Linked DNA regions of Mus musculus: regions 2, 3, 4, 5 and 6 are each reported to be linked to region 1. The links are microRNA targets in miRTarBase. Many come from high-throughput screens and were not tested one by one. Region 1 holds a microRNA gene; each other region holds the end of a gene's coding sequence. Distances are from middle to middle.

The links. Region 1 holds the annotated microRNA mmu-miR-9-5p (UCUUUGGUUAUCUAGCUGUAUGA, at 2,319-2,341, opposite strand). A microRNA usually pairs through its seed, bases 2 to 8, with sites in the 3' UTR of a target mRNA and lowers its output. Matches are read on the target gene's strand: a 7mer-m8 pairs with bases 2 to 8, a 7mer-A1 pairs with bases 2 to 7 and ends in A, and an 8mer does both.
Region 2: miRTarBase lists Specc1l as a target of mmu-miR-9-5p. Seed matches in the 3' UTR shown: 7mer-m8 at 3,955-3,961.
Region 3: the mRNA of Hdgfl3 is a reported target of mmu-miR-9-5p. The part of its 3' UTR that is shown has no 7-base or 8-base seed match.
Region 4: the mRNA of Ptbp2 is a reported target of mmu-miR-9-5p. Seed matches in the 3' UTR shown: 7mer-m8 at 1,930-1,936.
Region 5: miRTarBase lists Zdhhc7 as a target of mmu-miR-9-5p. Seed matches in the 3' UTR shown: 7mer-A1 at 1,595-1,601.
Region 6: miRTarBase lists Flt3 as a target of mmu-miR-9-5p. The part of its 3' UTR that is shown has no 7-base or 8-base seed match.

Annotation. Positions count from the first base shown.
Region 1 is chr3:88,212,881-88,217,953 of GRCm38, reverse strand. It overlaps Mir9-1 (microRNA 9-1), which reads right to left and starts at 2,356; the gene lies at 2,268-2,356. The region is part of intron 2 of Gm3764 (predicted gene 3764); the gene reads right to left. It overlaps Mir3093 (microRNA 3093), which reads right to left and starts at 2,783; the gene lies at 2,697-2,783. Gm25641 (predicted gene, 25641) reads left to right here and starts at 2,284; the gene lies at 2,284-2,341.
Region 2 is chr10:75,309,476-75,314,548 of GRCm38, reverse strand. Specc1l (sperm antigen with calponin homology and coiled-coil domains 1-like) reads right to left here. Exons shown (of 16, transcript NM_153406.3): 16 at 2,149-4,759. The coding sequence ends at 4,670. Among named protein-coding and RNA genes, the nearest start is that of Adora2a, 4.9 kb to the left of the region's middle.
Region 3 is chr7:81,881,428-81,886,486 of GRCm38, forward strand. It overlaps Hdgfl3 (HDGF like 3), which reads right to left. Exons shown (of 6, transcript NM_013886.4): 6 at 1-4,656. The coding sequence ends at 4,651. It overlaps Tm6sf1 (transmembrane 6 superfamily member 1), which reads left to right. Exons shown (of 10, transcript NM_145375.4): 10 at 1,788-2,652. The coding sequence ends at 1,979. Among named protein-coding and RNA genes, the nearest start is that of Tm6sf1, 25 kb to the left of the region's middle.
Region 4 is chr3:119,716,204-119,721,275 of GRCm38, reverse strand. It overlaps Ptbp2 (polypyrimidine tract binding protein 2), which reads left to right. Exons shown (of 14, transcript NM_001310711.1): 12 at 271-487; 13 at 592-669; 14 at 819-2,534. The coding sequence ends at 948. Among named protein-coding and RNA genes, the nearest start is that of Ptbp2, 65 kb to the left of the region's middle.
Region 5 is chr8:120,078,429-120,083,501 of GRCm38, reverse strand. It overlaps Zdhhc7 (zinc finger, DHHC domain containing 7), which reads left to right. Exons shown (of 8, transcript NM_133967.3): 7 at 142-272; 8 at 786-2,407. The coding sequence ends at 962. Among named protein-coding and RNA genes, the nearest start is that of Zdhhc7, 21 kb to the left of the region's middle.
Region 6 is chr5:147,326,917-147,331,989 of GRCm38, reverse strand. It overlaps Flt3 (FMS-like tyrosine kinase 3), which reads left to right. Exons shown (of 24, transcript NM_010229.2): 24 at 685-1,249. The coding sequence ends at 819. Among named protein-coding and RNA genes, the nearest start is that of Urad, 7.0 kb to the right of the region's middle.

The DNA of each region.
Region 1 (5,073 bases):
CCAGCTCTTTTCTGTGGTTTTGCCTGGCCACATTCTAGCATCCCCAGTGTCCCAGCTGAGTTTCCTAGCACAGCACACATCCTTATACCAATCCACACAGGCTGCCTCCCTCTCTTCACCCTTAGGCACATGGACTTCACAAAGGGCACCTGCTGCCCTGCTGAGTACCGTACACATACACAGTCAGTGTGCATCTAAAGAAGACATGAACCCTTAGCAGCCTAACCTCCTAGCCTCTATTCCTCCTTTTCCTAAAGCCTTCTACTCTCTTTTGAAGAGCCTGTGATCCAATGTGCTCATGGGAAACAATAATATAAAACTACTGTGGTTAGCAACTGAGACTCTAAGTGTTCCTGGGAATATGTGGTGTGTGTGTGTGTGTGTGTGTGTGTGTGTGTGTGTGTGTGTGTGTGTGTTTAGGGGGACTCTAGGATGCCCAAGAACTTGCTGTGTAGACAAGGATGACTTTGAATTCTTGATCCTTCGTCCTCTACTTTGCAACTGCTCAGATTATAGGCCTGTGCTATGATAGAGGGCTGTGTAGCCCTGGCTGTCCTGGAATTTACAGTGAAGACACTATACAGGAAACATTAAAGATGGTAATGATAAGGAAGCTTATTTTATTGATGCCCCTCCTCTGCCCATGCAAATTCCCAATAACAGAGAGGCTTCCCTTCTTTCTACTTTCCCAGTTGGCTCCCTTGGGGTGGGGAGTGTCACTTTCTCCAAGACAGAGTAAATGGAAGGAGCTTTGAGTGTCAAGCCAGTGAGTAATGTCAGCTGCTCACTTGTGCCTGTGTAACATGGGATCACATGGCATCTCTCAAGCAGCGGAAAAAGAAAACAGGCTGTGGCCAGACCATTAGTTCCAGCCTAGACCCAGCCTCTTTTCTCCTTGACTTAAGCTTCATCCCCACCACCCCTACCAAAACAAAACAAATTCCAAGCTTCTGGAATTTAAGAGGCCACTCGACTCTCCCTCCCCTAACTGCTAAAGAAGACACACACAGGCAATAGATTCCCTGAAGTCCCAGAATTTGAATTTGGATTCTCTAATATTTCCCCCCATGTAATACAAAATTGAATCATTATCTTCTAACTGTAAAATCAGGTCCCGGGAGGAAATTTTAAATTTATAAGAACCAGCGGAGTCTGGGTGATGACATTTTGCCCAGTTTTCTGCCTCTTATTAGTCGGTACAGCCCAGGTCTCCAAGTGCCAGCTGGTCAAGTTCGGCTGAGGGCCATGAGAGCAGAGGGGATTCCTAGCTCTGGCCATGTTTGTTAGACCATCTTCTCAGCTGTAGAAACCCTCTTTCACTAAAATATTTAGGTCAGGCAAGATAAATAGATTCTTTTTACAGGAGCCCAAATTAATCTCTCTAATTCTTTGCGTTCTCTGGGCAGCACAGCTACACATTCCTTTGTGTTTGAGCTCCACAGAGCTCCTTGAGGCCATTTGTTCCTTTGGGACACGATTTCCAAGAGTGAGGTTAGGACCGAAAGGTGGGATGCTCTAAAGCCCCCCACCCCAACTCTACACCTTTAGCCACTAATGACAAAGCAGCCAGAGAGAGTTCAGTTAGACTTAGCTCTGGTCCTGAAGGCCAAAGTGAAAGCAAAGAACCTGCGCCCCAGGGTCCCAGAATTCCTGTGGGGTAAAAAGGTCTCTGGCCACTCTGGCCCTTGCCCTTGTGGTTACTTTGTTTCTGCATCGCCATTCTCCCTAATAAGTTCGATGTGTGTGTTGGTTTTTAAGCCTTCCCCGCTCCTAGACCTGTTCCCACCTGGGCAATCTTGACTCCCAGTAAAGCTGAAGGGCTTCAGGGAAACCACCAAAGCAAAAACCAGCTTTCTAGAGACATCCTACGAACCTCGAACTCCACCAGTCGCTTCGAAGAGCCAGAGGGAAGCTGCTCACACCAGCCACCCGCTCCCGGGATGCGTCGAGACCGGGAGAGGGATGCTTGCACTTTCCCCCCAACCCTTCAGCCAAGGGCTCTGTCTCTCCCGGGAGCGGCTTCTCCGGACTGAGGCCCAGACTGCTCCATTTTGACCAGGCCTCCAGAGGCGACCCCAGAGCGGCTTCTTGCTTTCTTCCCAGGTGAGCAGGTTGCGGGTGGGGATCGCGAGGTGGCTCGGGCTGAGCAACCTTTGAAGGCGACGAGTCCCCCTCCCCCCAGCCCTCCAGCCTCCAGGCACGCCTGGCACGGCTCTCCCTCCTGCAGCTCGGCCACTACCAGCGTTCCAGGCCCTCTGCGCAGTGTATGGGGTTATTTTTACTTTCGGTTATCTAGCTTTATGAAGACTCCACACCACTCATACAGCTAGATAACCAAAGATAACAACCAACCCCGCCTCCTGGCCGCCTCCTCCTCTTCCACGCAGCCTCCCGGCCACCGCCTGGACCTCCGTAGTCTCGAGTCGCTCGACGGCGGATGGGGGACGCGCGTGGTGTGGAGGCGAAAAGATGGGATCCAGGACCTCACGCACTATCACGACGAGACCTCAGAAAGGCGAGGAAAAGATGCTACCGCCGACGGTTCTGAGGTCGGGAATCTAGGCTGAAACCAAGCGGCCCCAAGCCTGACCGCCCATTTCCCACTCCCTCCTCCGTGCAGAAGCAGGGTTCCGCCGGTGCTAGTGGAAAGGCTCCAGGGCCTTCGTGCCATCCGGGAAGACCGCAGAAGCCTAGGCCGAGGCCTCCCCAACCTCCCACGGTGTCCACACCCTTCTCTGGAAGGTCGAGTGTGAGCTCCGCGGGGTGCGGCAGAGCCGAGCTCGCAGAGCTGCTCCGAGCTACCGACTGCAGGGGAGCGGCCGCGAAGCCCCGGACGGGAACCCCAGCACTGGGGAACCCCGAGGCCCAGAGGGAAGCCTGTGGCTGGCGGCGGGGTGGAGGGTGATCTAGAGACTCCCCAGCGACTCTCCCAAGGGCAAAGACCCCACCCAGAGAGAATCGGGCGAGCAGTCAGGACGTGGGGCTGCGGGTTAGGGCAAAGGGTGACCAGGCAGGTGCTCCGAGCCCTGGACCTACGGAACCGCGCGGGAGCCGGTTTTGTGCAAAACGCAGCCGAAATCATTCAGAGATGTGAAATATGCCACTGGGGGTCTGAGTGAGAGATGCCCTTAGTGGCTGGAGGGGGCTATCTGGACTGAACCCACTGGAAGGAGGTCCAGGGACCGTGCAGAGGGTGTAGAGCTCCGTGGTCGCAGGTGGCGGACGCGCGCGCTGGACTCTGAGGCGCTTTCCCCACCTCGTGCCCCACGCGGGTCAGGCCACTTACATCAAACCCAGGATGCCCAGTGGTAGTGTCCTGCGCGGTCTTCAGGCGCGTTCCTACCCAGGCAGCGCCACGGACGTGGGTCAAGGATGCCGGGGCTTGCCAGGTAATGGGGCCGAGCGAGAGCCAGCAGGGTGGAGCAGGGTCTCGAGTCCCAGCTCTCTCCTCAGCCTTGGCCGCTGCTCTGGCGGGGGCGCTCTCAGGCTCCGGACTTTTCATTCATCCCTTCACACTCCTTCCTCAGGTCAGCCCCTGATTGGCTATACCTGGTCTGACGTCACTGTCTCGTTTCTTCCCCCCCTCCCCCCCAGCCTTTCCATGCCCGACCCCCTCCCTCCCCAGGCCAGTCCAAGACGTGCAATTGGGGTGCCCCTCCCCCAGAGAATGGGATCCAATGTCTTTATGCCAATCCTTAGTCTTTTGCTGCCTCATCTACAACCCGCCTGCCACGTCTATAATCCATTGCCAATTGCGGTTCTGATGGCCACCTTCGCTCTTCTTGTCGATCTTACATTTTCCTTTTGGGCTCTACGGTACATTGCACCAAGACCAGCACGCAAAAATAGAAAATAAATAGGGCAAAATTCCCTCAAAGAGAAGAGATCTGTAATCTCAGCACCAGGAGGTTGAGGCAGGGATGCGGACTGGAGACTCTATCTCTGACCCCCTCCCACCTCACCCCACCGTTAGAGTCTTTTTGAGTTCTAATTCCTCCCAAACTGTGATCCTAATATTTAGGAGAGGCAAGGGTCTCTTTTGTTCAAGGTTTTCAACTCAAACCCTCACTGAAGGGAAGACTGTGCAGTTTGAGTCTCCTGCTATGAGACAATGGGCGAGCAAAGGGGGCCCTCTTTTCTGCATTTCAGGGGAATGTTCCTTGACCCTATCTGCAGATAACCACAGAATCCTAGCTGCTTTTGAGACTCAGAATTTGGCCAAGTCCTGGAGACCTTTAATAGGTCTTTCCCTCTACCCATGTTCCTCCAGGCTCCCAGGCATGCAGTGCCAGCTCTGGGTTCGGTTCCCCAAGGAAGATGCCTTTCAGGCAAAGCTCTGTCCCCGTCCTCAACTTCCTCCACCTGGCTCTCAATCCAGTCCAGCCAGAAAGGTCCTTTTCTCCACCAAAGAAGCAGAAGCAGAAAAGCACCGGGGAGTAGCCAGTTGCTGTTGGGCAACATCTGGGTTCTAGGTACATCGAAATTCTCAGAGCAACCATGGGCCCCAGGAGCTGCTCTGTGTGCCAGTGAGCGGTCCCTTCATCCTCCTACTTATCCTCTGCTGGGTCCCTTCTATAAAACTGGCTGAGATGCCTAAATCCTGCTGGTCAGATTAAACCAGCCAGTTCCTGTAACCAGGGACCCCTAAACACGGAGTCACCAGCAGTCCATTTAGGGGACTATCACTTTAACCATTGGGTCTGTCTATCTGCTAGTCCCATGAATAGCCCAAAACAAAGCCAGACCTGTGGACTGCTTATCTTGCTTAGATGGAAGGTGGTGGCTAATAGGTTTAACTTAGTGCTTCTCACCCAAAACGGAGTATGTCTGAATGTTCATTGCTATTAATGCTGGCTGCATGGCTGTGGGTGGGGCCAGCTTGAGATGAGATAAAACCCACAAGATGTTTCCCTACCAGAAGGATGATAGCAAGCAAATAGCCTTATCTCTCCATGTCTTGGGGCATTCTCAGGACCAGGTTTAGCCAGAATTTATTTATTTATTTACTTATTTATTTATTTATCTGTCTATTTATTTATTTATTTTGAATCTCCCTCTCTTTTCTTTTTTTCT
Region 2 (5,073 bases), not on the chromosome of region 1:
GGCACGGCAGACAGGAGGGCAGGCCCTCCCAACCTGTAGCCTTATGGGAACTCCATCCTACACCTCTTACCAGTGAGAGAAGCTGGCCAGTAGTCAGCCTTGGAGCTATATCTGATGTGGTACTGTAGACAGAAAAACAGCTGAGGTGTGTGCAGCTGTCTTGCTTGGCCCCATGATGGAATGTGACAGCACTCCGTAGCTCCTAACAAGGCTTTGCCACTTACCACCCCCAAGGATGGTCTTGAACTCCTCCTTGTGCTCCCCATACCCCCAGTCCTGGGACCCAGTACGCCTCCTCCACATGACAGGATGCCTGGCAGTGGGGTTCTGCAGAGGTCACAACAGTTCCAGCATATCCCAAATGTTGGGGTCCACCTTGAGGACGACCTTGGGGGTCCAGCCCATGCAAGAACTGCATGCGGAGCACAGCTACTCGCAGTCATCCTGAGATCTTGTTCTCCCTCTTTATAGGACTCAGCTCCCAAATGGCAGAGACCCTGCTGTCCCTCCTCACACAGGACAAGGTAGACGCTCTCTAGGAATGTTTGTGACAAAGACCAGTCCTCCCAGGCTGATTTGTGTAAACCGAGCGCCTCTGATCCACCCTCATGCCAATCCATCCCCTGGAAGTGTGGCCTCCTCCTCTCTATCCCCACGTGGCCTGCTGGGGGATCCAACCTGCTGCTGTCAGACTTTTACCAGAACAGAGTCACAGCAGCCTGGGACTCCCCCTCACATGGCTGCCTCGCACTGAGACCATTCACATCTGACCACTTCCCACTGGAGGGATACAAATACAGCCCCCACCTCAGCAACACCCCCCCCCCCGCCCGAGACTTGGGGAAGTGCTACCCTTGTCAGGACAGAGCAAGAGCTGGCTGCTGGGTGCCCTGATTCCCAGAGGCTATAGGTCCAGGGGTCTGAGGAACTTTCTAGTTACCTCTTTCTTCCCAGGAACCTATATTCCTTTTCTAACAGAGCTGTCTCTCACAGAAGTGCTGAACCCCGGCTCCCAGCCCCTCATCAAGGTACTGGCTGGGACAGGCACTAACAGGTCTCTGATAAGGAAGTACCACTGTGGGACTCTCAGCAGATAAACCGGGTTACACAGGAGCCCCTCGGGGTCAGCATATGACATGCAGTGGGCAGGGCTGAGGGGGCCCATGCTGTCTCAGGGACAGACCAGAGAGCAACAGGTAGGGTCAAGCACTCCTCTCACCATGCATCAAGTTCTCACTGTCTTGCTTAGGACACAAATCCAGTGTCCAGATACTGAGGAAGGGCTGAAACACGCCCTGTCCAGCCTCTGCCATGACTGCTCCAAGAATTCAGCACAGCTACTTTTACTCACGGGTTGTCCTGGGTACTTGGAGTGTTGGCTTCTCTAGAGGTCATGGCTTGTGGGCACTCTGAGAACATATTCATATTCAAACTCAGGCCAGCAGGAGTCTTTTGGACTCCCTAGGACCCCAAGTCCTAGAGAGTAGCAGGCCCAGGCAGCTTATCATGGATGCCTGGAGTGCAGGTGGTAAGCCCACAGACTTCTTTCTGCATGTGATACGTGCAAAGCTGAAAGACAGCATTATCTAGCCTGATCACTCTGGATTTGAAAACACCGCACACAAGAAGTACCAGTGAGTTGGGGTATGGCTCAGAAGCACAGTACGTGTATGTTATGTGCAAGGTCCTACTGAGTTTGAGCCCTAGCACTAAAACAAAAGGATGCACAGGGGAAAATTACTTATATAGCTGCCTCTTGGTAGAAACCCCACCCCTGTAATTTTATACACCTTGAAACTCAACTCTAAGAAGTTAACATTTATAAAAAGAAAACAAAATAAAAATCCTTGGGCCCTCCTGATCAAACGTGTAGGCTCTGCTGGAGGCTTTGCTTCTGCCGGGACTCTGCTGTGGGACATGCTGGCTCTAAGATGGCATCTTGAGAACTGCCACAGTTACCACGTGGTTTCAGGGCAGGCCGGAACCTCTGGGCTCACCCGTTTCCTCTCCTTCTGTCCAGACCTGCCTGGGCCCACACAGCATGTGACCCTGAGGCAGGTGCATCCATGCCTTCCATTCCAGTTCCACAGGAGGGTGAGAGCTCTGGTTTGTGTAAGGTCAGACAGACAGCAGGGAGGGAGAACAAACTAGGAAATCGACGCATGACAGTTTATTACATTCAAGAGTATTTACTAGAACAAAATGACAAAGTGTCATTCATCGGCAGAAGCCTGTGACTGACAACAGTAGAAAGGTAGCTGGCCCTTTTGTAGCGAAGCTTGTGCTTTAGGAAGAGGCGAGCTTACATCTTAGAGCTTCCCAGGAAACAGCCCCAGAACAAGAAAACCTCCAAATATCACCTTTTGGCGGACAGGGTCTCACATGCCAGGGCTGACATCAAACTCACCGTGTAATCAACAGTAACACTGAACTCATGATCCTCCTGCCTCCGTTTCCCCAAGTACTAGAATGACAGGTATGCACCACACTCAGTGTATGTGGTGGTAGGGATCAACCCAGGGCTTCGTGCATTGTAGACAGGCACTCTAAGAACTCCCAAATACTACTTTTAATAGCACATGGCCATCTACAAGCATGCCCAGAGGGTCAACAGTGCTCTTTAGTGGCCTATTAGAGAAGGCAAAAAGCAGTGGTCTGAAGACAGCACTTGACTGTGGACCCTCACACAAATGTGGGCAGCCTGGCCCTGGCTGTGAGACACCCAGTCTGTGTGTGCATGTGAGAGGGTCTAGCCCACCATCTGTCTGTCCCTGCACTGGCTCCAGGCCTAGCCCAGGCCCACAGATTCCAAAACAGAATGTTACCTCTACATGGACATACTCGTTCAGCAGCAGCTGACTTACTCCAAATCCTTTCAGAAAACTCGGGCAACTTCCACACTGCCATGAGGATCACATAGCCAGCAGGGGACAGAAGGTGTGAACTGCAAGCCCAGGAAAGTCTCTAACAAGACAACCCCTTTTCATGATAATAAATAAAACCTGGCCTCAGATCCACCACCTTGGTGCACAGTGGAAGGCCTCAGTGAAGGCAAATACAGCAGAGGCTGGAAGCTCAGAGGAGTTCAGTGGAGACTCATTTGGAAACAGTCATTTTCACACAATGGTCACCCCAACGGAGTTCATCAGCAGAACAAGAACAAGAACAGAACTGGGCCAAGGAGGGCCAGAGAGGCACTGGGCAGACAGAATAATAGGGTCTCCTGGTACACTCTGCAGCATAAGCTGCCAGATTGGGACATTTAAGCAGGGTGGAGGGGTGGGACTGGCCATCTGATGGCAACACAAACAGACACGGCCCACTTCCCAATAACTACTTTCAAATTGCTTCCTTCTCTACGTTCCATAGATACAACAGATTCCTAGTCTGTAGCATTATGCTTGAATACAGAACCTCACTCAGTCCATGTTTGGCCTGGCATGCCTCCTGGGAGACATTCCCACCATCCATCTTGTTACTGAAGCTGTGGCCCCATTTTTATTGATGGCCAGTCTTCCACATGGTGCCTTGCAGGTGACAAACAAGTGTATCCCGGAGCAACAGGTCTTGACATTGTTCAAACAACAGCTTCTGTGTCAGGCACATGAAATAAGGGCTTCCTATTCTCGAAAAGAGGCTGCTAAATTCCAGCCAGAAATCAACAAACCGGGTAAGGCCTTGGCTCGTGATATAGGCCCCACAGCCCAGGCACAGCGTAGAGCCACTTCTCCTGGAGTCCCAATCAGCACACAGGATCCTCATGTGGGTGTAGGCTCAGCTGTCCTGGTGCAGGGCTAAGGCACTGTCTTAACTCCTGCCCTGGAGGGGCAGCCACCAGTACAACTTGAATCTCTGGCTCCCTAAAGCACCCCCCTTTCCCTACTGCACGAACCCTCCCTCTCACATGCTAATGCCCAGTCTGTGTTTTAGTTCTATGCTTACTGAAACGATTAACTTTGGTACTAACAGGAGCTATTTCACCAATATTGCTTATAATAAAACAACAACTTCAATGAGGAGAACTCCTTGTGACCAGTCTTTTCCCTGGTGTTACAGGCAAGTGGCTGAGCACCCACTGAGTGTGCCACCTGCGTCTTGCTGCTGACAAAAACCTACTTGGTGGCAGTGTAGACTCAACGAGCTGTGGGCCTATAAGCAGGGTTTTAACACTCCTAAGCTAAGTGCAGTGGTTAGGACGGTCCTCTCCATGGAACGGGTACTGACACTTTCCTCTGACACACTCCTAGAACCCAGGCCCACATGAAGGGACCAAAGCCAGCTCTGTCCCACCACTGGGAATCACGTGGATAATAGTCAAGAAGTTGGATGGCTAAAGCTTTCACTAACCCATGGTTCCCACAACTTAATCCCATTTCCCAAGATAAGCCCGGCCGGGCACAGCCTTTATGCTGTTTGCACTCCAGGGCCCTGGTGGAGCCGGACGGTCTCTGGAAGTAGGCTGGCGGTGTGCTGTACTTCTGCTCCTGAGGACGGCCATGCGGAAGAGCCCTGGCCTGCAGTTCCAGTTCCAATGCAGAGGCCTAGAGCTGGGCACACTCCCTGCAGGGAGACCCAGAGTCACTGAAAGCTTTAGGAGTTCTAGCTAATGGTGTTGGTGTCACTTGGTGACTGCAGAGGTCCCTAGCTGGTATCAGCCGCTCCTGTGTGCTCAGGTTTCAAAGTACTTGTAGATGGCTGTAACATACAGCATGACGTTCTGCCAGTCGGGCCGTTCAGTACGCGCCATTTCATTGATGTCCTGTGGAGAAGGAGCTCAATTAGGACTTATTTCCCCTCCCACGCCACCCCAATGGGCTTCTAGTCCCATAAGCAGTAGACAGCTTTTAGTCTAAGGTGCACTGCCTCTTTCAGAGGACAGGTCTCCAGTATCTGCTCTATCTCCAAAGGTCCCTGTGAGCATCTCCTTCCTGAGTATCAGAATCATCATTCCAAGTCACACTCTTGTGCCACTAGGGTCTCCTCTCTGCCCCAGCCCCAGCTTATCAAGTGGAAACTCTCCCCAGACTTTCTAGGCTCTTTCTAGGCTGTTCTCTGGAGACACTCTAGGGCTCA
Region 3 (5,059 bases), not on the chromosome of region 1:
AGGGCCCACACAATCACTGACCTTTCATACAGGTTTACCTATATAGGTACACCCAGCTGCTCATGTTACTTATTCTTGGGAATTGTGGGTAGTATTTTTCTGTCATTTTATGATGAGCACAATAATCTCTAAGGATAGAATCACTAAACCCACAAGTCTGACAAAACCAGGGTTCAAAACTGGCCTCTAGTCCAGAAGAAAATTGTTGTATGTTCAAAAAAACAGCTAAAGCAGGGCCCAGAGAACAAGTGTCAGGAGTCAAGGCTTCTGCCAGAGTCCCCAGACTGTTCACAGCAGTGTCTCTTCTGGGCAGCTTCCAAAGTGCCCTTTATTCTCAAGGACTCTGTCTGTGTAGCCTTGAGATGCACTCATTTGCTGGGCCTTTGGCTTTGTGCCCTAGGGAGTGTGTCTGCGGGCAGAACCTTCTCAGTGCCCGAGGAGAATCACAGTGTGGGTAAGCCACTTGTTGGTCCTTGTCAACACACATCAGGAATTTAATTTTTATTTCCAGAGTAGTAAAAGTATCCGGAATATATCAGTAATTTATAAATTGTAGCCCATTAAAATATCTGCCATTTATACAAATTCCTAAACATGCTCTTTTCTTTGCCAAGGTCACATCAAATGCCAAGTAGCACTTTTATCTGTTAGCACTTAGCACTCTCAATTGATCATATGGAAGGACATATAAGGTAACAATACATTAAGAACACACTCTCTAGTGATTCACTGTTACTTCTGTCTCTTTAGATTGCAGGATCCTTTATCGTCTCACTTTGATCATAGTATACTGATAATCTGCCATTTAACTACATTTAAATCTTTAGTCTTTATTTCTGTGTATCTTGAATTTCAGGCAAACATAAAAGTGCAGACTTGGGGTTTGCATTTTATAATAACAAGTTTTCTGAGAAAAATACTCTGTCGGTTTTCAATTCTGCTATGGCCTGTATTACTTTTCTAATAGTTTTTCTCTGTGCTTATGAAAAGTACAAAAAACAAATGAGCCAAGCAAAATTCAACTGGCACATTCTGAATAGTTTATAAACTATCCCATGTAAACAGAGGGAGCCCTTGCTGTTCTGTTCTGAAACTTCAAACATGCTGACCAGTCACAATTCTAAGTAGATTTCAGTCTGATTTGGAAAGGCTGCCTGTGTATATATTTGCCATTTTATAATCATATTGCTATCCACAGCCAAGCTATTAACAAGCTTACCTTACAAACAATCATAGTGCTATTAAGTTACATAAAACCAAACACACGGATGAATAAGCAGTACATGTGATGGTCTCTGAGCTCTGGCATCCAGTGGTTGGTCTGAGACCCTTAGTGCTTCTCTCTAAAGTAGCTCCTCATACTAATTACAGCTTAAATGTTAAAACCCAACTTCATTTGTAATTCAAACCCAATTTGTGAGACCTTGCTGAGTGTCTATATAGTTAGTGTTCCTAAGATTCAAATTAGAAAGAGGGGGAGATTTTGTTGTTGTTGTTGTTGAATTGAGCCAGTATTGTTTGTTATTTGGCACAGGATAGGTTAAAAATACACAACTGGAATAATAAAATCACACTTTAAGAAGGATACATTATTTGAATACTTATATCAAGAACAACCTTAAATTTAGTGAAAGATTATATATTAAGACTGGATTACCTAAAGGTATTTTGCCTTTAAGACAGGTTTTGAGGGCACATGGTCTGAATGAGACACTCAGAATTCATCATTAATCCAAGTGAACAGAGCTCATCCTTACTGTTTTTTTGTTTTGTTTTAATATAAACAGGCTCAGTTTTCTCACATTGGTGCGTCCCTTCATGCTAGAACTGCTTATGTCTACAGAGTCCCCGAAGAAGCGAAAATCTTTTTTCTAGCACTAAACATAGCATATGGAGTTCTTCCTCAGCTCTTGGCCTACCGTTGTACCTACAATCCCGAGTTCTTCCTAAGAACTAAGGCAGATGAGAAGTTGGAATAAACAAACATACCTCACAGTTCTCTCTGACCTGTTAATGGGACTGGCGCTCTCCTTTATCCCCTCCATACAGGAATACTCACAAGAACACACTTGTTCTGCAGCATACATGTGAGTGAAACTAAGGGTAGTATCTGGGTATATTCTCAGTTTTGAAAGAAAATTAAAGTTGAGAAACAGCTTTTTTAAGGAAATATATCACCATTTGTCTATGAATGTGACCATTGATTTTAGCATTGTTTGCACATAGTATGTGTGAAAATTACAACTCTAGTGCCTACAAAAAGCATAAAAATGAAACTATTCAGAAGTAACTAACCATACTATGCATAAGAAATAATTCAAAACAGCAATTGCAGGTTGGAGAAATGGCTTCATATGAAATGTATGAGTTGTTGACAATCTTAATATAAATGCCAGATCATCACAATATTTTTAAATTGATTCAAGTGTTTTCACAAGGAAAGCATATTATTTATTGCCATTTTAAAAATTGCTGTCAAAACTTCTATTGTGAATTTGAATAGCTAAGATGACACAAATCAACTTTATTAGTTGCCTTAATGAACACTTGTTTTATTGGTTGATAATATTTCTCTTGTGTTTCTGTGTATACCTTCAATACTGTGTATACCTTCAATAAAATTATTTTTGGTGTTTATGAAGATAAACTTTATTAATTTTGAAGCATTTTATATATACATTTTCATGACAAATTTTGAACTTTTTATTTAAGAAATCTGTGCCAGGTAGTGGTAGCACACGCCTTTAATCCTTGCACTTGGGATTCAGAGACAGGCTGATCTTTTGAGTTCCAGGCTAGCCTGGTCTACAGAGTGAGTTCCAGGATAATCAGGGCTACACAGAGAAACCCTGCCTCAAACAAACAAACAAACAAAAAAACCTTTGTTATATGTTCCAATTTAAAAATGCTATCTACATTCTCCATATGTTTTGCATGATAATGAAGAGATCTTTTGTCAAATTTCATTATTTTAAACTAAAATATTTAAAATTAAAAAGTACCTTTTAAAGAAAAAACCCTGACTTAACAGCCTGTCTCTTAATGAATTTTCCATACATGGAACTGCGTGAGCACAACAGGGGACCACTGATTGCTAACCGGCAGGAGCAAGCCCAAAGGACAGTGATGTCCTGGAGGGAGGGGTGAGTAGACCAGTGCATCCAGAGCCCCACATCACCTCCATCTTCACAACGACACTGGGCTCTTAGGTCTTCTTCTATTTTCTCTTCACGTTCATTAGTTCTTCAACACAGTAAGAACACCAAAAGCAAACTGGATGCACGGAAGGCTGTGTGTAAATGCAGGGTCCCCTGAGCTGGGCTGTCGCAGACGTGCAGACAGCCCCTGCTGCTGCAGCTCCTGCTGTTGCTCCCTCCTGTCCCCCCACGGCTTTCACTTAACCTAACATCCAGAATACTTAAAAAGAAACATGATAGAAAAAATAAAATTTTCACCTGCACTTAATTCTAATGTCAATTTGCTGTCAATCTTTGCTATAATACAAGAAACACATTAATACTTCACATTACACATATGAAGCCAAATAACACTAACTCGGCTGTTTATAACCTCAAACCTTACTCCCAGTACACATTCCAATAAATTTATTCTGTAAAAACAATACATTTTTTTGTTTTTGATTTTTTTTTTTTACAGTAAACTTCTCAGCTACAAACCTCAAACACACACAAAAGATCTTCCAAGGACAAGCATAGCAGGGTTGATGAGACCCAAACTGACTAATGAGTTCTCACAGTATAAGCTGGCATAAAAATAAATAAGACTCTATCACCACAAGAGCGACAGTAATGCACACGTAACAATGGTTGGCGGATGAACGTTAACTACTCTAATTCTAGTTCTAAAAGAAAAGTCTATTTTAAACTCTGTACTCAAGAGTCAATGCTTTGTTTCCCACAGTGCTCCTGCTGAGCTCAGCTTTCAGTGTAAAGTGACCATCTTGAGGGATTGGCTCAAATTGTATTGGCTTTGGGAAAAAAAATAAGTCCTTGCTTTATTTTGGTATGACACAAAAAGACTCAGTAAGTTCACATATAAACTTAGTTTGTGGACACAGGAACATGAGTTTTGAGAAGTATTAAGTTTCAACTAGCTATTTCTAATACAGAATAGGTATTGTACATATGGTTAAACTTTACACATGGCCTTAAAACTGAAAGATGACTCTAACTTCATCTCCAATACACCAACAGTATGTATCTAGGAGTTGGTTCTTGGGTTCTGCTACAAAGAAAATCCCATCCTGAAGTATTATGTTGAGCAGTCACCTAACAATATGAATTACTGTTTAGCTGAGTATCTGATGATGGTGGGAGAGAGGCAGGAAGCTGATGACTTGGAAAAGGAGCCTAGACACAGAGAAGTCTGCAAAATCTTCATCATTCTTAGTGATTAAGGGCAACTTCATGCAACCAAATAACATAAAATAAAGTCAACCTTAAAAGGGTTAAAATGTCTCTTTTTCCTTCAACAGAACAGAGAGGAATGTGACTAATGCACACACATACTGGGGCTCTGTCAATGACAACAAAGACCGTTGGTTCATATCAAATCCAAATCCAAGAATTAGACAATCAAACAGTTAACCTTCTTGTGGTGTCTCTCAATATGCAGCATTCATTACGGTAGTTAGGTCTGTAAAAAAAAAAGCAAATAAAACAAGCCTTAGATGAGCTAGGACACTACCGAGGGAAGCTCATCACCATCACCCTGTGGGCACTGGGTTCTTGTCCTTTGCAGTCTGAGTCAGCATCACAGCAGCAGTACTTAACGAAACAGCGTCAGAGGCTTTGCTTTCTATCAACTAAACACTGACACGCTACGTTAGTATCCTGTTCAAAACCAGACAAACCCTAGGGGTAACCTCTGTTGCCTCTCCAGTGGAGGAAGCTATGGCAGTGGCACATGCTGTACCACTCAAGGAGGTGAGTACTGCTGCTGCCCACCACACTCCTAAGAGAGGTGGTCTGTCTGACCGGGGTGAGCAGTATAAGCTGAAGGCCATCTGGGTGCACGCAGACTGTCCTTCACAATACTT
Region 4 (5,072 bases), 32 Mb from region 1:
AAGCCGAGCAGCAGGAAGGAGGGATGACAACTATATTTTTCTTGTGGCCATTAAAATCCAGTTCATCATCAGGATTCTTATAGTAGATGCTTGTAGACATTGTTCTTGTTCAATGAAGGAAGTTTTTTGGTGCAATACTTTGTCTAGTAGAAATAAAAAATGGTAATAAATTCATGATTTTTAAGTTGTAAGAAAATTCAGAATTTCCAAATTAGAAGTATTTTTATCCTAAACTTTTGATATTTTAATAGGTATTCTTTATTTTCCTAGCCATGAATCATCTTAATGGGCAGAAGATGTATGGAAAAATTATTCGTGTTACTCTCTCTAAACATCAGACTGTGCAACTACCTCGAGAGGGACTTGATGATCAAGGGCTAACAAAAGATTTTGGGAATTCACCACTGCACCGTTTTAAAAAACCGGGATCCAAAAACTTTCAGAACATTTTCCCTCCTTCTGCTACCCTTCACCTGTCTAACATCCCGTGAGTATCTATTTCAGCTCATGACTGAGCACAGTCATATTATCAGCCAAGCAGGTCTATGGTTATCTGTATTCATCTGGACTCTCCCTGTCTTCTTTTTCTAGCCCTTCTGTAGCAGAAGAGGATCTGCGAACTCTGTTTGCCAACACCGGGGGCACTGTGAAAGCATTTAAGTTTTTTCAGTAAGCAAGCTTCTTTGTCTTAAAATGTGTGACTTGATAGAACTTAAATTTTTTTTTCAAATATATCTATTTATTTACCTCAAATGGGTGAAAATCAGTGTTTAAACTCTTCTTATGAAGTATCTAATTTCATAATTTTGTTTCAGAAGAGATCACAAAATGGCTCTTCTTCAGATGGCAACAGTGGAGGAAGCTATTCAGGCTTTGATTGATCTTCATAATTATAACCTTGGAGAAAACCATCATCTGAGAGTGTCTTTCTCCAAGTCAACAATCTAAGCACGGGAGATGAAGATGGCGGGCAGATCCCATTGTTGGTGTCATCACCTATTGACTGTTCAGAAAAGTGGGGACCAGAGTTTGATTTTTTTCATGCTGTTATCATTCCTTGGTTATAAAATGAAATGGCATATGTAAAGGCAGAGTTGCTAACTGCTGTGTTTCATCTGTTCAATAGGGAAGCCATTTTTGTCTGTTTAAATTTTTAGTTTAATTTTGCTTTTTTTTTTTTTTCCAACTTAGTTGACATACGTGCCTTACAAAGGAAAACTAGTGTTGCTATTCTGCATTTACTAGGAAAAAGGAATTGGTTGTTTAGGGCACATCGTTATGTGGGAATTAAAATATGTTTGGGCAGGGGTGTGTCAAAAGGTTAAGTTTTTATTTCTCCTGCTTGGAACTTTCTTTGAATTATTGGCTTATCACATTTCTTTCTATTTAATCTAATAAGATACTTGATACTGAGAGTATAAAACAGCATTTTTAGTTTTTACTATCTTAGGCTTTATTGCTTTTGAAAACATTGGCCTTTTGTATCTCACAAATCTGGTCTAGATTCAGTTATGAATGTAGGCATTAGTTAAAATTAACAAGATGCAGAGTATTAATTTCTTAAGACAAGTGATTTCTGTAAGTTTGAGCCCTATGTGGAAAGCATTGTGGAACCTTAACCTTTTTGTACACACTCTTGTGGGACGTGTCATATAAATGTCAGCACTAAGTAATGTCTTGTTTGTGGCTGAATATTTTTCGTAGATGTTTTTGAAGTTGACATGACTTACGTGCATTTAAATATATATTGCCATCCTTAGTTTGTAATTAAGATTTGGAAAATGGTTGTGGATTTCTGAGCATGTGCAGACTGGTCTAGCTAGTTCAGGAACTGGTGCATGTATTTTTCAAAGACAAAGAAAGTGTACTGCGAAAACTTGCAGGAAGATTAATTTTGTGGCAGTTTTCTAAAACTGACAACCAGGTGGGACCAAAGTTTATGTGCCTTTAGTCTTAATTTACCTTGCATTGTAATATTCAGTTTTAATAAATCTTCAAAATATTTTGTATTTAGGAATAGATCTGACTTTAATAAAAACATGGCTCAGAATCTACAGGTCAAATTTATTTGAACAGTTCTTGTCAATCTGAATTGTTGATTCTGTTAAATGACCAATACTTTTTGAAATTGATGTACTTAGTTTCAAGATTCATAGATTCTGTTATCTATGTAGACAGAATGGTCATGTATATTTTCTATTAGTTGAGTTTTTACATCTTTAGAAATGTAAAATTCAGTATAGTTTGAAAGCGGCACAATTAAAAATTAATTTTCTAACAAAGTTGGGAGGTTTGATGGTTGTTTAATTTCACTTTGTGTGTACTCTGCTTACCTCTGTAGCATGCTCAATAAACACTTCTGTAGCTCTGTATTCACCTTTTCTGTCTTTCTCTGCTGCCTTTTCTCTCTCTCCTTTGTTTTCACTCCACTGTGCTTCTGAGTTCATGTTTACTCTGCCAGGGTGGGAAAGGAGTAATACTATCACAATCCTATGGCTTTATACCATAAATAAATCCAGATGCTGTGAAAATGCACCAGCTGTTCCTTTTTTTAATGCAAAAGTCGGTAACTGCTTTTTCAGGAGGACACATATTAAACATTTCCCACCCTGTTTATAATCTGCTTTAAAGACATAACTTCTATTGTAGCTTGTTAATTCTCTCTATCTCTTTTGTTGTTGTTGTTGTTTTCCCGTAGATTTATGCACTAATAGGTCTTTTGGATTTGCCATGCTCTCTTGCTGCAGTTTCATCTTTCATCTTTGTGTCTGCTCTAGATTTCCTACTAATTTTAGACTACTACTGAGTTTTAACAAAGGGTTCTGCTGTTACTGGAAAGAAAGGACTATGGCATTGGCTTCTATTTGAGTGCCATAGGGTATATACATGCAGGCTTTTAAACCGCAGGTGCTGTCCTCCTCACTCTTTATACTGATGCTGTCATCAAGCTATTTTCTTTTTTTTTTGGTAACTTTATATATACAAATACTGGTATCAATTAACTTTGGTGTTAATACATGTATACCTCAAAGTCACACACTGGACATTAGGGTCATTTTATAAAAATGAAGAATCATGTTTAAAAGTATTGTTCTTTTCACAAGAGTCTACTCAACTCCAAGAAGTACAGTAAGTAGGAATGGTTCCGTTTCAGAGTTAAGAATTTGAGTGTTGCTCTTGTTTGTTTGTTTGTTTGTTTGTTTTTAAAGTGATGTTGCAGTATTGTGACCAGGTACAGGAAGATCAGCTATGCCTTAATTCTGTTAGTTTACAACCAGCATTGGGACAGAACTGTGTGTGGTTTTCTTTGGGATTGCATGGAGGCTCCAATACTTGAAAATAGATGTTGCTCTTTGTTTCAGGTAGTTATTTGTAGGTTACACTTGCTTAAAAGGAAAAACAAGGTTCTAGGCTACATTAAGACACTGGGAGGAGTTCCAGATCGCTCTCTAATGACAGAGAGCAAGGTCCCTCCCCACCTCCTGCCCATCCAGGGTGTGGCTGGCTTTACCCTCTTTTAATAATTTCCATCAATATGGTCTTATTTTAAAAGTATCAAGATATTGAAGTGGGAAGTTTGACATCTAGAATTCTTAAAGTTCAGTGCATTAGATTAGAATAGCACTCTATCAAAAGAACATGAGGTAAAAGTCCTGTTGCTTTATGTTGTTATGCTCACTGCCGCAGTCTCTCACACTAGCTAACCTTACAGCATTTTCAGTGTTCAGCTGCTTTGTTAGTAAAAGCTTTCTCTTGGGAATTTAGAAACAAATAAATTGAATTTTTATAATTGAGAGAAAAACTTTCTTTTAATAAACAAGATTTGCTTTTGACAATGTATTTCAAATCACCTACATAAGAAGGGGATTGATTCATATTGATTACATTTTATGTTGGACACCTATTTCTTTGTATGAAATCCACTAAGACCTTTGCCAGGAAGAAGGTAACAGAGTTCTATGAAATCGGTAAAAATTTTATTAGCAATATTGAGGTTTTTAAGGTTAGGATAAGAAACTATGTTAATTGGCATAATTAGTTCATATGTATCTGTTTAAACTACCAGATGTATAGTTTCAGAGGAAGGACAATTTTCCTAAGTCTAAAAGTAAAATGGAGTCCATAAAGTTACACCCAGTACTCAGGAAGCTGATGCAGGAAGGGTAGGCTGTCCCAGCTGTGGCACTCTGTGTTAAGCAAAAAAATGTTAAGTGCCAGTATTCCTACCTTGCCAGGTTTGCCTGTAGTTATCAACACTCCAGATCGTCCCACTGTCTTTCTTACTGTTGCAAAGAAATGTTTGTTAATGTTTTAAAATCACCTAAATGCTACTTTTTAACAGTAGAGTGCCATGACAGAATGCATCCCACAGCTCAAGGATGCCCAGCCTCAAATTTCATTTGAACTACTTGATAGTTGAGTAATAAAGTATAGCTTTTTGGAGTTACAGACTCCATATAAAAGGCTTATATTATGTATAAGCCTTTACAATTTGCTGTGAAACTTGAAGATAATTCTAACCATACTAAAGATTTTTCCAGCATAAGATGGAAAAAACGGCATAATTTTCTGAGTAACCCAGGACTTTATACAAGATGGGAACATCGGTCTCCATTCAGAGCATAAGAATATAGAATTATTTCATGAAATTGAGCACACAAAGGGTTCTATTTCAGCTGAACACTGCTTTCTAGAAAGTCTGATAAGAAATGTGAAAAATTATTAAACTGGTATTGGAGTGTTGGCTGGTTGTCAGTCTCCGTGACATAGTCATTTAAGAAGTCTTACATAGACTTTATTTCCTGTAGGTTATCTTCGTAGTTTGATTTTGTGAGTAGTGTACATTTTAAAGTTACATTATCAGTAATTCAAAGTAAAAAACAAGTGTGTAAAGATGGAGAGAGCAGCATGCATCAGAGCTGCCCACTCGGCTCTGCTGAGTGTACACTGCCTTGCCTGCCCCCTTTCCTACCTCTTTCCCATCTTTTTTTTTTTAATTCTTTTTTTATTAGATTTTTCTTTATTTACAAAAGAAGTCATTAGATATGCACTCACTGATAAGTGGATATTAG
Region 5 (5,073 bases), not on the chromosome of region 1:
GGCAGGGATGGGGAGGCTGTGTGCCAGGCAGGGCTGTGTACCAACTTCTTCAGCAGGAGGAACTCACTCCTAGGAACTGTGTGCGGTCCCTGCAGAGTAGGGCGGTTGCACACTGAGTGCCTCCCTCCCGTCTGTCCGCAGAGTGCAGCGACTTCTCTCCTCCCATAACTGTAATCCTGTTGGTCTTCCTGTGCCTTGAGGGCCTCCTGTTCTTCACCTTCACCGCAGTCATGTTCGGCACCCAGATCCACTCGATATGCAATGATGAAACAGTGAGTTGTCCTGTGTCTTCAGGGGGCGGCAGGGGCACTGTCAGCGGCAGCAGCCCATGTGGACTTGTGGTACCTCAGACCTTGGGCCCACAGGCCTGTGTATGCTGCTCTCTCCATTGGGGCAGCATAGTTCCTGGGCCCAGGATTGGTTTAAGTTGGTAAAGTAGGCAGGCTCCTGGTCAGAACTCAGTGGGTCTCAGAACCGTGAAGGTGTACCCACTCTTGCAGGCCTGGAGTAGGCGTTGCCTAACTGCAGATGAGTAGGGACGCAGCGTCGGTCCCCGTCCCCCCCCCCAAGAGGCCACTGGGCCACAAGAGCCATGCCAGGTTGGCGTGGAGGCTGACCCATGCGGATGGTGGCCCCCCCCTCCCCCTGGGCCACAGGCTGACTGTTTGCAGCACACATGTGTAGCCGTGTGCAGCCACAGTGCAGCACGCCGTGTGTAGCCGAGTGCAGCCACAGGCTGACTGTGGATCTCTTCTCATTGCTGCTCTGGCTTCTTCTGCTCCCAGGAGATCGAGAGGCTGAAGAGCGAGAAGCCCACGTGGGAGCGCAGGCTGCGGTGGGAAGGAATGAAGTCTGTCTTCGGGGGCCCTCCCTCCCTCCTCTGGATGAACCCCTTCGTTGGCTTCCGACTCAGGCGGCTGCAGATGAGGACCAGGAAAGGAGGCCCCGAGTTCTCTGTCTGAGCCTTCAGGGTGGGAATGTCTGCAGACATCCGTGCTCAGTGGCCTGCGTGCACAGCAGCCTTGTGGGCAGATGGAGCGGGCCAGCTGACGGGGCCATGAGCGGCTTCATGGACCACAGGCCACAGGCACTTGTCATTTCTCTTGTGTACTGCCAGGAGAAGCATGCAGTCCCGGGAGGCCATCGTCTCACCATCCTGACCCTTGGGATGTCGCGTGGGCACCCACGGGTGGAGTTGCTTCTCAGTCATGAAGAAAGCCAGCACAGCAGCGCTGGGAGTCCTGCTGGCCCATCCCCAGCGCACCCCCTTACCCGAAAGAAGGGGTTCCACAGAGACTCTGCCTTGGAGGCCTCTGACACCCAGCACTGAACAGTGAAAGCAGCTTCCAGAACACTCCCTGCTGCCCCGGAACGGGCATCCTTTGACCCTTCCAGCAAGTCTGTGTGTGCTCATCCTTGTGTGTCTGTGTGGTGTGTGTGTGTGTGTGTGTGTGAGCATGTGTCAGAGTCAGCAGTGTCGTTGAGGCACGTATGTGGTAGACAAGCTGTCTTTCAGACTCCAGTGTTTCAGGGAAGTGGGACGCACTGCTGGCCCTTGCTGGCCTACTATGAATGTATCCTACAGTGTCCAGATCCAAAGAACAGGCATGCCTGTGCATGGGCCCGGCCTCCTGCTTTTATTTCACTGAAAATTTAGTGTTTGAGGGCGTGGAGCTGAGGTTTTGTTGTTCCAGCCAAACTGCAACTGCAACAGTCTCTCAACAGGGAGAGTGGTAGCCCATGCTGAGGCCCAGCGCTTTGGGGCAGGGGCCATGAGGAGCTCAGCGTGAGAAGCCACCTAGGGCCCCTTGGGGCAGGTGCTGCAGGGTGAGACAGCCTGGTGCCTGAGCTGTCAGAGTGGTGATATGTGACTATTTCTCTACCCATGGCACCGCAGTCAGTGGAGCCTTGGTGCGGGCTTAGAATCCCGTCAGTACACAAACAGCTCCCCTCAGGGGATTTGCCTTAACCGCTGGTTGTTGCTTTGCTGCTGGGTGAGAGCAGTCTGACAGAGTCTGGGGACTTCCTGAGAGTCTTCTCCCATGCAGACACCAGTGTTTCCCTTCTGGGACCAGCTGCCTTTCTGTCCCTGGGACACCATGACTGTTCTTTCGGTGTCAGTTGCTTGTGCCCTGCCCTCATCTGGGCTCCTGTGCTACTGAGGTGACCCCCAGGGACCTGAGCCGAGCCCTCATGCAGCGAGCAATCTCTGGGGCCCAAGTCCCTGCAGAGGGACATCGAGGCCTCAGATTGTCTCTGCGTTCCTTTGCACACGTGTCTGGGCATGTAGGCTCTGGCGGTCTCACCCTCCAGTGTGGAGTCTGTGCGGTGAACCCAAGCTGAGTATACTTGACTTTTCAATTCCTCAGTGTGATTTTATATGAAATAAAGTAACCCGTCCACAGTTCTCACCCTCCTGCAGCCCTCTTCTTCCTGGGTGACCTGCCTTGCTTTTCCAGGAGCTGTTGTGTGCCTGTGAGGGGACCTAGGCATCTGGGTACAACTCCTAGTGTCACCTGGGTAGATGATGCCCTAAGACCCCTTAACTTTCCCTTAATTAACTAGGGAATTTTTAAAATGTGCTTTAAAATAAAACTGGCTCTAAGCACACGAGCTGCTGACCTCCTTCAGCGCAGAGGCTAGAACCCAGGGATGTGTTGTCACACCTTGGCAGCTAGTCTGTCAACTGACGGAGTCTGTCTCAAACACAGGAGCAAATCAGTACTGGGGAGGCAGAGGCAGGTGGATCTCTTAGAGCTTGAAGCTAGACTGGTCTACATAATGAGTCCAAGAACATTAAGAGCTACATAGAGAGATTCTGTCTCTAAAACAAAACAAACCCTGAAGAGCCTCAGGCATCCAGTTTTCTCCCTAAAGTAAACAAATTGACCATGACCTCCCAGCATTCACATAAGGTGGCTTATGGCCATCCTAAATCTGGCCCTAGGAGACTGGACACCCTTCTCTGGCCTCTACAAGTACCTACATACACATTATTTTAAAAAAGAAAAAGCAAAAACAACAACAAAAAAACCCACCTTTGCATGAGAAGGAACCCAAAATGGCCTCTTCATCTGCACAGCCTTGGGTTGGGGCAGGGGAGATGTACCCATACCACCTTGTGTGTGTGTTGGGGGGGGGGTGCCATGGCCCCAGTGCAGCTCTGAGCCTGCCTGAGCCCAGGGACAAAGACTAAAGGTGAGTGGTGAGCCCACAGCCTTGTGGCTGCTTAGATCGGAGGGGCGGGCAGTCTGGGCTGTGGGAAAGGCATCAGGGCCAGTCTCCTAGCTGCTCAGGTGGCTTTCTAGAAAGTCTAGGAGGCTATAGAGGAGGCTGTAGGGATGCACCCACACAGATCACAGGTGGCTGCATTGCTTTACTTCTGGTAGCTTGGGACTGGCTACCTATGTCCCTCTCCTTGGTAGTACACACCTTCATTGTGCAGTTTAGACAGAGTGGATATTTTGTTACTCAAGATGAGAGGTCTATGGCTAAGTGGGACCTAGCTTCCCTTGGTCAGGTCACCTTGTCCTCTGCCCCACCCTTTTTTTACCTCTGGACACCTCTCCTGGTACAGCCAGCTGTCCCCAGACTCCTGGATTCAATCTGCTTGAGAGTCACACCATCCAGATCCCTGTAACTGGTGGTGGTAGTGGTGCACTTGGGAGGCAGAGGCAGGCTGATCTCTGTGAGTTGGAGGCAAGCCTGGTCTACAGAGCAAGTTCCAGGGTATCCAGGGCTACACAGAGGAAACCTATCTTGAAAAAGCAAAAGAGAAAAGATGGCTGTAAAACAGCCATCTTGGGGCTATGTTGTCCCCAAATCCTCAGCCCACTTACCTACCAGCCCCCTCTGCAGCTCTCCAAGGGCTCCACCTACATAGTGACCTTGAACTTTGCTTGCCCTGTCCTGTGCTGGCCCCCTGGGGGTCTTTCTCTACCCGACTTGGTCCTGGGAAATGTCTAAGAGCACACCTGCCTCTGCTTTCTTCCCTCTGGCTTGTGAGTCAAGTTTGGGGCCGCCTATACTCACCATTGCCTGCCCCTCCTCCGCAACCTTATTTTCTTTTGTCATCTTCCAGAACCCCCTCAGCTCTGCCTTCCAGCTCTTCTCATGCGTTTTGTTAATCGTCTTTAGACAGGGTGTTACTTTGTTACCCTGGCTGGCCCGAACTTGTCGATTAGGCTGGGCCCAAACTCACAGACCCACCAACCTCTGCCTCCCAGTGCTGAAATTAAGATGTGCACTACCCCGAGCCCAAGGCAGCTAAGAATTCCAGTGTGGCCCAGGCTCCTGCCTCCATCCTTCAGGTGCTGGGGTTACCATTGTCCGAAACATCTTTTCAGATGTCTTTTTGGGGCTTGTGACAGTTTTCAGACCCCAGAGCTTATAGTGTTCTGTGCCACAGGGCAGGGCATCTGGGGTCCGCTGTCGAGGTAGCACCAGCACAGGCCTTGGCTTCGTCCTTGTCCTCTGTTTCCTTCTTCAGTCCTACACTTTCTGGCTGCCGCTGCTGGTCTTCCTCAAGTCCTGGAGTAGGACGCCGAGGGGCCAGTGGGCAATGAAGACCCTCAATTTCCAGAGTAAACCGCCTCCCCCCTCTATGTCAAGGAGCAGAGCCCTGGTGCCTGACATCTTTTAACCAAGTCCTCCCAAGCCACTTCATTCAGAAACTACAGGAGGGAGGGTTCCCTACTCCATGAGAGGTAGCATAGCCAAGACCGCAGGCTCAATGTCTTCCCAGCATGCCCTGTCGGGTTGAAGGCATCATTCTAGACACTGCTCAGGACACAAGTAGGACCGTGGCGCTCACTGAAAACATGGCTCAGTTGGTAAAAAAACAAGAACCCGTGTTAAAACAAAAAAGCCCCGCTGGCCGTAATGGTACCCAGAGGAAGTCTCAGCAATGGGGAGGTGGATCCCCGAGGCCTGCTGGCCCCCCAGCCTCATCTACTCAGGTAAGCCTCAGGACAATGAGGGACCCTGCTTCAAAAGCAAGATGAAGCCGTGAGAGGTGGGTCTGTAGATAAAAGCACCTGCCCCCAGGTCTGATGACGTGAGTTTGATCCCTCG
Region 6 (5,073 bases), not on the chromosome of region 1:
ACAGCTACAGTGTACTTACATATAATTAATAAATAAATAAACAAATAAATAAATAAAAATAAATAAATAAATAGATTTAGTCTTAAAAAAAATGAGTGGCTGCTGTTTCAGAATAAAACAAAACCCATGGAGGGGACTGGACAGATGGCTCAGTAGTTAGACCACTGGCTGCTCTTGCAGAGGATCAGGGTTCACTTCCCAGTAAACAGGGTAGCTCACAGTCACCTATACCTCCTATTCCAGGAGCTCCAGCGCCCTCTTCTGGCCACTGCAGGCACTGCATTCAAATACTGACAGGTGCACACTTGCGCACATAAAGTAAATAAAACTTCAAAACAAGCCTGGAAACTACCCAAATTCATAGTTTTATATTTTTAAGATTATTTTACTTTTCAATTACATGTAGTAGTGTATACAGGGACCCTCAGAAATCAGAAGAGGGTGTTGAATCCCCTGGGGCTGGAGTTACAAGCAATCGTGAGCCACCTCACATGGGCTCTTAGAACCAAACTCAGGTCCTCTTCAAGAGCAGCAGGTGTTCTAACCACTGAGCCATCTCTCCAGCCCCTAAACTCATATTTCATGATCTGTATAAAAGTAAGGTGTATTTAAGTACTGTGCTTTCTAGGCACACGGGCGAGTCCTGCTCAGCTGGTCATTCTTGCTGCTTCTCCCCCTTTCCAGATGTATCAGAACATGGGTGGCAACGTCCCAGAACATCCATCCATCTACCAAAACAGGCGGCCCCTCAGCAGAGAGGCAGGCTCAGAGCCGCCATCGCCACAGGCCCAGGTGAAGATTCACGGAGAAAGAAGTTAGCGAGGAGGCCTTGGACCCCGCCACCCTAGCAGGCTGTAGACCACAGAGCCAAGATTAGCCTCGCCTCTGAGGAAGCGCCCTACAGGCCGTTGCTTCGCTGGACTTTTCTCTAGATGCTGTCTGCCATTACTCCAAAGTGACTTCTATAAAATCAAACCTCTCCTCGCACAGGTGGGAGAGCCAATAATGAGACTTGTTGGTGAGCCCGCCTACCCTGGGGGGCCTTTCCAGGCCCCCCAGGCTTGAGGGGAAAGCCATGTATCTGAAATATAGTATATTCTTGTAAATACGTGAAACAAACCAAACCCGTTTTTTGCTAAGGGAAAGCTAAATATGATTTTTAAAAATCTATGTTTTAAAATACTATGTAACTTTTTCATCTATTTAGTGATATATTTTATGGATGGAAATAAACTTTCTACTGTAGAAATGTTGGTTCTTGTTCCTTTGCGTGAACTATAAGCTCATGGCCTCATCTGTATGTGAGATTTCCTGTTTTTCTGTTTGTTTGTTTGTTTGTTTGTTTTTGTTTCTCTTGAGCAGGTGCATTCTTGGGGGATGCTTGGTGTTGTTTGGTTTTGAGACAGGATCTAGTTATATTGCTCAGGCTAGCCTCAAACCCGAGATCTTCCTGCCTCTGCCTCAAGTCTTGGGGTTAACGTCATCACACCCGACGAAGGTCAGCTCTTCACCAAAGTGTTAAAGCATCCTGAGCCGACCAGGCTGAGGACCGCGGGCACCACATCTGATCGGTTCTCCCATTCCCTCCTCATTCGCTTCTGATCTTTTGAAACTGAGCAAGCTCCAGCCCACAGGTTTATAAACTCGCCTTGCTTTGTCCCTTTGTACGCTGGACACCACTGAGTTCTGTCCTTTATTTCTTTGTTTTGTCCTATGACAGGGTCTCATGTGTCCCAGGCTGGCCTCAGGTTGACTGTGTAGCCGAGGATGACCTGGACCTTCTGGTCCTCGTGTTCCCACCTCCCGAGTGCTGGGATCCCGGTGTGTGCCACCATGCCCGGCTTCGCCTGATTCTTTAGCTAGCCTCTTTGCCATCTAAGTCAGAGGTTCTCAACCTTCCTAATGCTGCGACCCTTTAATACAGTTCCTCATGCTGTGGTGACCCCCAACCACGAAATTATTACATTGCTACTTCATAACTGTAAGTTTGCTACTGTTATGAATCGCAATGTAAATAACCTGATGTGCAATGGCTAGGGAGTCACGATCCACAGGTTGAGAATGCTGCCCTACTGTGTCTCTTAGCTGCTGCAAGTTCCGTCCCCCTAAGCATTGACTTGGCATGTGGTATGGTATGGTGTCTTGTAAGCACCAGGTCTCTCCATTGATCCAGCTTCCACCCCTCTGCCTCTTTGCTTCTTTCACCCTCTAGACACTAGCTGCATAATGTTTTCTCTCTAGCCAAAACCGCCTGGATGGTCCTGGATGTGTCTGGGCATTTCCCAGCCCCCTCTTCTGCCTCAGTCTCTGTCTCCATGCCCATCAGGAATAGCTGCCTCCGTGGCAACCTGTGAGATCTTCTTGTCTATATCATTAGGTTGTCTCTGCACAGACAGCCTACCTATGTGATCCTGTAATTAGCTTTTGTGATAATGTCCTCTCTCTTCTCTCTCTCTCTCTCTCTCTCTCTCTCTCTCTCTCTCTCTCTCTCTCTAATGTATTTGAGTACAGTCATTGTCTTCAGACGCACCAGAAGAGGGCATTGGATCCCATTACAGATGGTTGTGAGTCGCCATGTGGATGCTGGGAATTGAACTCAGGACCTCTGGAATAACAGTCAGTGCTCTTAACCGCTGAGCTATCTCTCCAGCCATGTCCTCCCCTTTAAGCTGGAGTTTGAGCCGTTGGAAGGTGGATGTGATTTGGGTGAATCCAAACACTCAGCTCCAAGGAGGTAACAGACATTTGGTTACTCTTAGCCTACTCATGTAAAAGCATAATATATGCTTGATGGCAAACATTCAGCTAATATTGTTTTTTATTTAGGTAAGTGGTGGTTAGTCATGTAACAAGCGTTGGAACACCTCTACAGCTGAGCTCCGGTTCAGGTGTATCTCTCCTACCTTCCTGTCTGAATGTATTCCTACGGCACACACATGAGCATGCGCAGACGCACAGACATGAGCATGCGCAGACTCACACACATGAGCATGCGCAGGCGCGCGCGCGCACACACACACACACACACACACACACGAGTGGCAAGGGGTGGGGGGTGCAGGATGCAAATGGGAAAGAAGTCTTTGTATTAGTTACCTTACTGTTGCTATGATAAAACAGACCTTGGCTTGCTGCAGACTCTTGTTTACTGTTAATATTGCTGCTGAGAACATGGTATGGAAATTGGAAATACCCCCCATCTCTCTCTGTCTCTGTCTGTCTGTCTGTCTGTCTGTCTGTCTCTCTCTCTCTCTCTCTCTCACACACACACACACACACACTTTTAAAAATATTTTATTTTATTCTGAGACAAAGGTTTTTTTGTTTGTTTGTTTTTTGTTTTTGTTTTTGAGACAGGGCTTGTATAGCCCTGGCTGTCCTGGAACTCACTCTGTAGATCCCCTGCCTCTGCCTCCAGAGTGCTGAGATTAAAGGTGTGCCCCACCACCACAAGGTTTTGTTATGCACCCCAAGCTGGCCTTGAACTCGAAATCCTCCTCCTTGGCCTCCTGAGGTCCTGCACTGCTTCTTCACATTGGCCTTCACAGCTGTCTCTGTCGCTTACCCCTGAGAATCTAATGTGGAACCCAAGGCCAACTCTCAGCCTCCCAGGCACAGCCGAGTGGTTTGCCAACGTTCCTTCTCTCTCTGTTAGCTACCAATGGTCTTTCTCGCTTTCTCTGTCTTCTCTGTCTTGATGGAATTGGAGGAGGCAGAAGAGATACAGGAATTTGCAAAGCCCCTTGAGCTACTTGTCGTGAGATGTGTGTTGATAGAGCAAGGCAGAATAGTGATGTGAGCTTACCCAAGCCTCTTCCTTCTTTCAAAGTGATTTTGCCCAGGGCATGTGCACATTGTGTCTGTGACATCCCTCTGGATGGAGCCAAACACACAGTCACATCTGGAGTCAGGTCCTTGTGTGCAGCGTTAAAACCCTCAAAGGACTTCATTTCCACGGAAATGGATATTCTCTTGTGGGTTTCGTAAAAGTGGTTTTATAGCCTTAATACTACCAAATGCTTCTTTTAATAGCATAATATTGGGGCTGGAAAGACAGTTAATAGTCCATACTGCTATTGCGGAGGACCTGAGTTCAATTCCTAGCACTCACAACTGGGAGATCACAGCCTCTGGCAACTCCAGTTCTGAGGGATCTGACGCCCTCTACTGGCCTCCATGGGCACTGCATGCACGTAGTGCATACACACACTCAGGCACATACACATAAACATAAAATACATAAATTATTCTTTTAAAAAGCATAATATTGACTTGTTCTTCAAAGATGTATTCATGTTATGCAGTGATCATCCCTAATCTGAAATACTAAAACCCAGAATTTGAGCTTGATGAACATCCGCATAATACGTCACACACACACACACACACACACACACAGAGAGAGAGAGAGAGAGAGAGAGAACTCGATGCCTGGCCTCCAGTGAACAGACGTTAGAATGAAGTGAGTTAAAATTATCACATCAAGTTACCACCAGGCTGTGTACATAAGGCACACATGAAACATTAACTGATCCTTTAAATTATATGTGCAAAATTATTCCAGTCATAGCAAGTTTAGTCTGGTTCCTGTCACTCCAGCCAAGGGGTACTCTACCTGCCTTACCCCAAGCTGACATTGTCCATATTGCTGATGTCCTATGAAAACACACTCCTTGACCACCATCTTCAAACTAAGGACATTTGAATATGCTTCTGGGCTGTGTCGGGTAGAGGTTTGGAGCATCTCCTTCATAGAAAGTGAAGTCAGCAGAGGTGGAAACTTAAGGGCTCGTTGGAAAGTCAGTGGTGCGGGAAGGTGTTTGCTAAGGCAGACACGTGAAGGAATATTTAGCTGAAGCAGACACAGGAGAAAAGGATGTTCTGCTAAGGCAAGCATGTGATGAAGGATTCTTTGCTAACAACACGCATGCGTTAGTCCATCTTACGTTGTGTAGCTCTATTTGTCCGGAATCTATAGAGAGAAATGCACCAAAACAAAACAAAACAAAAAACAACTTCTGGTGGTGTATTGTGGCTTCTTGCTGCTCCCAAGGACTCCGATTGGCAGAGTAA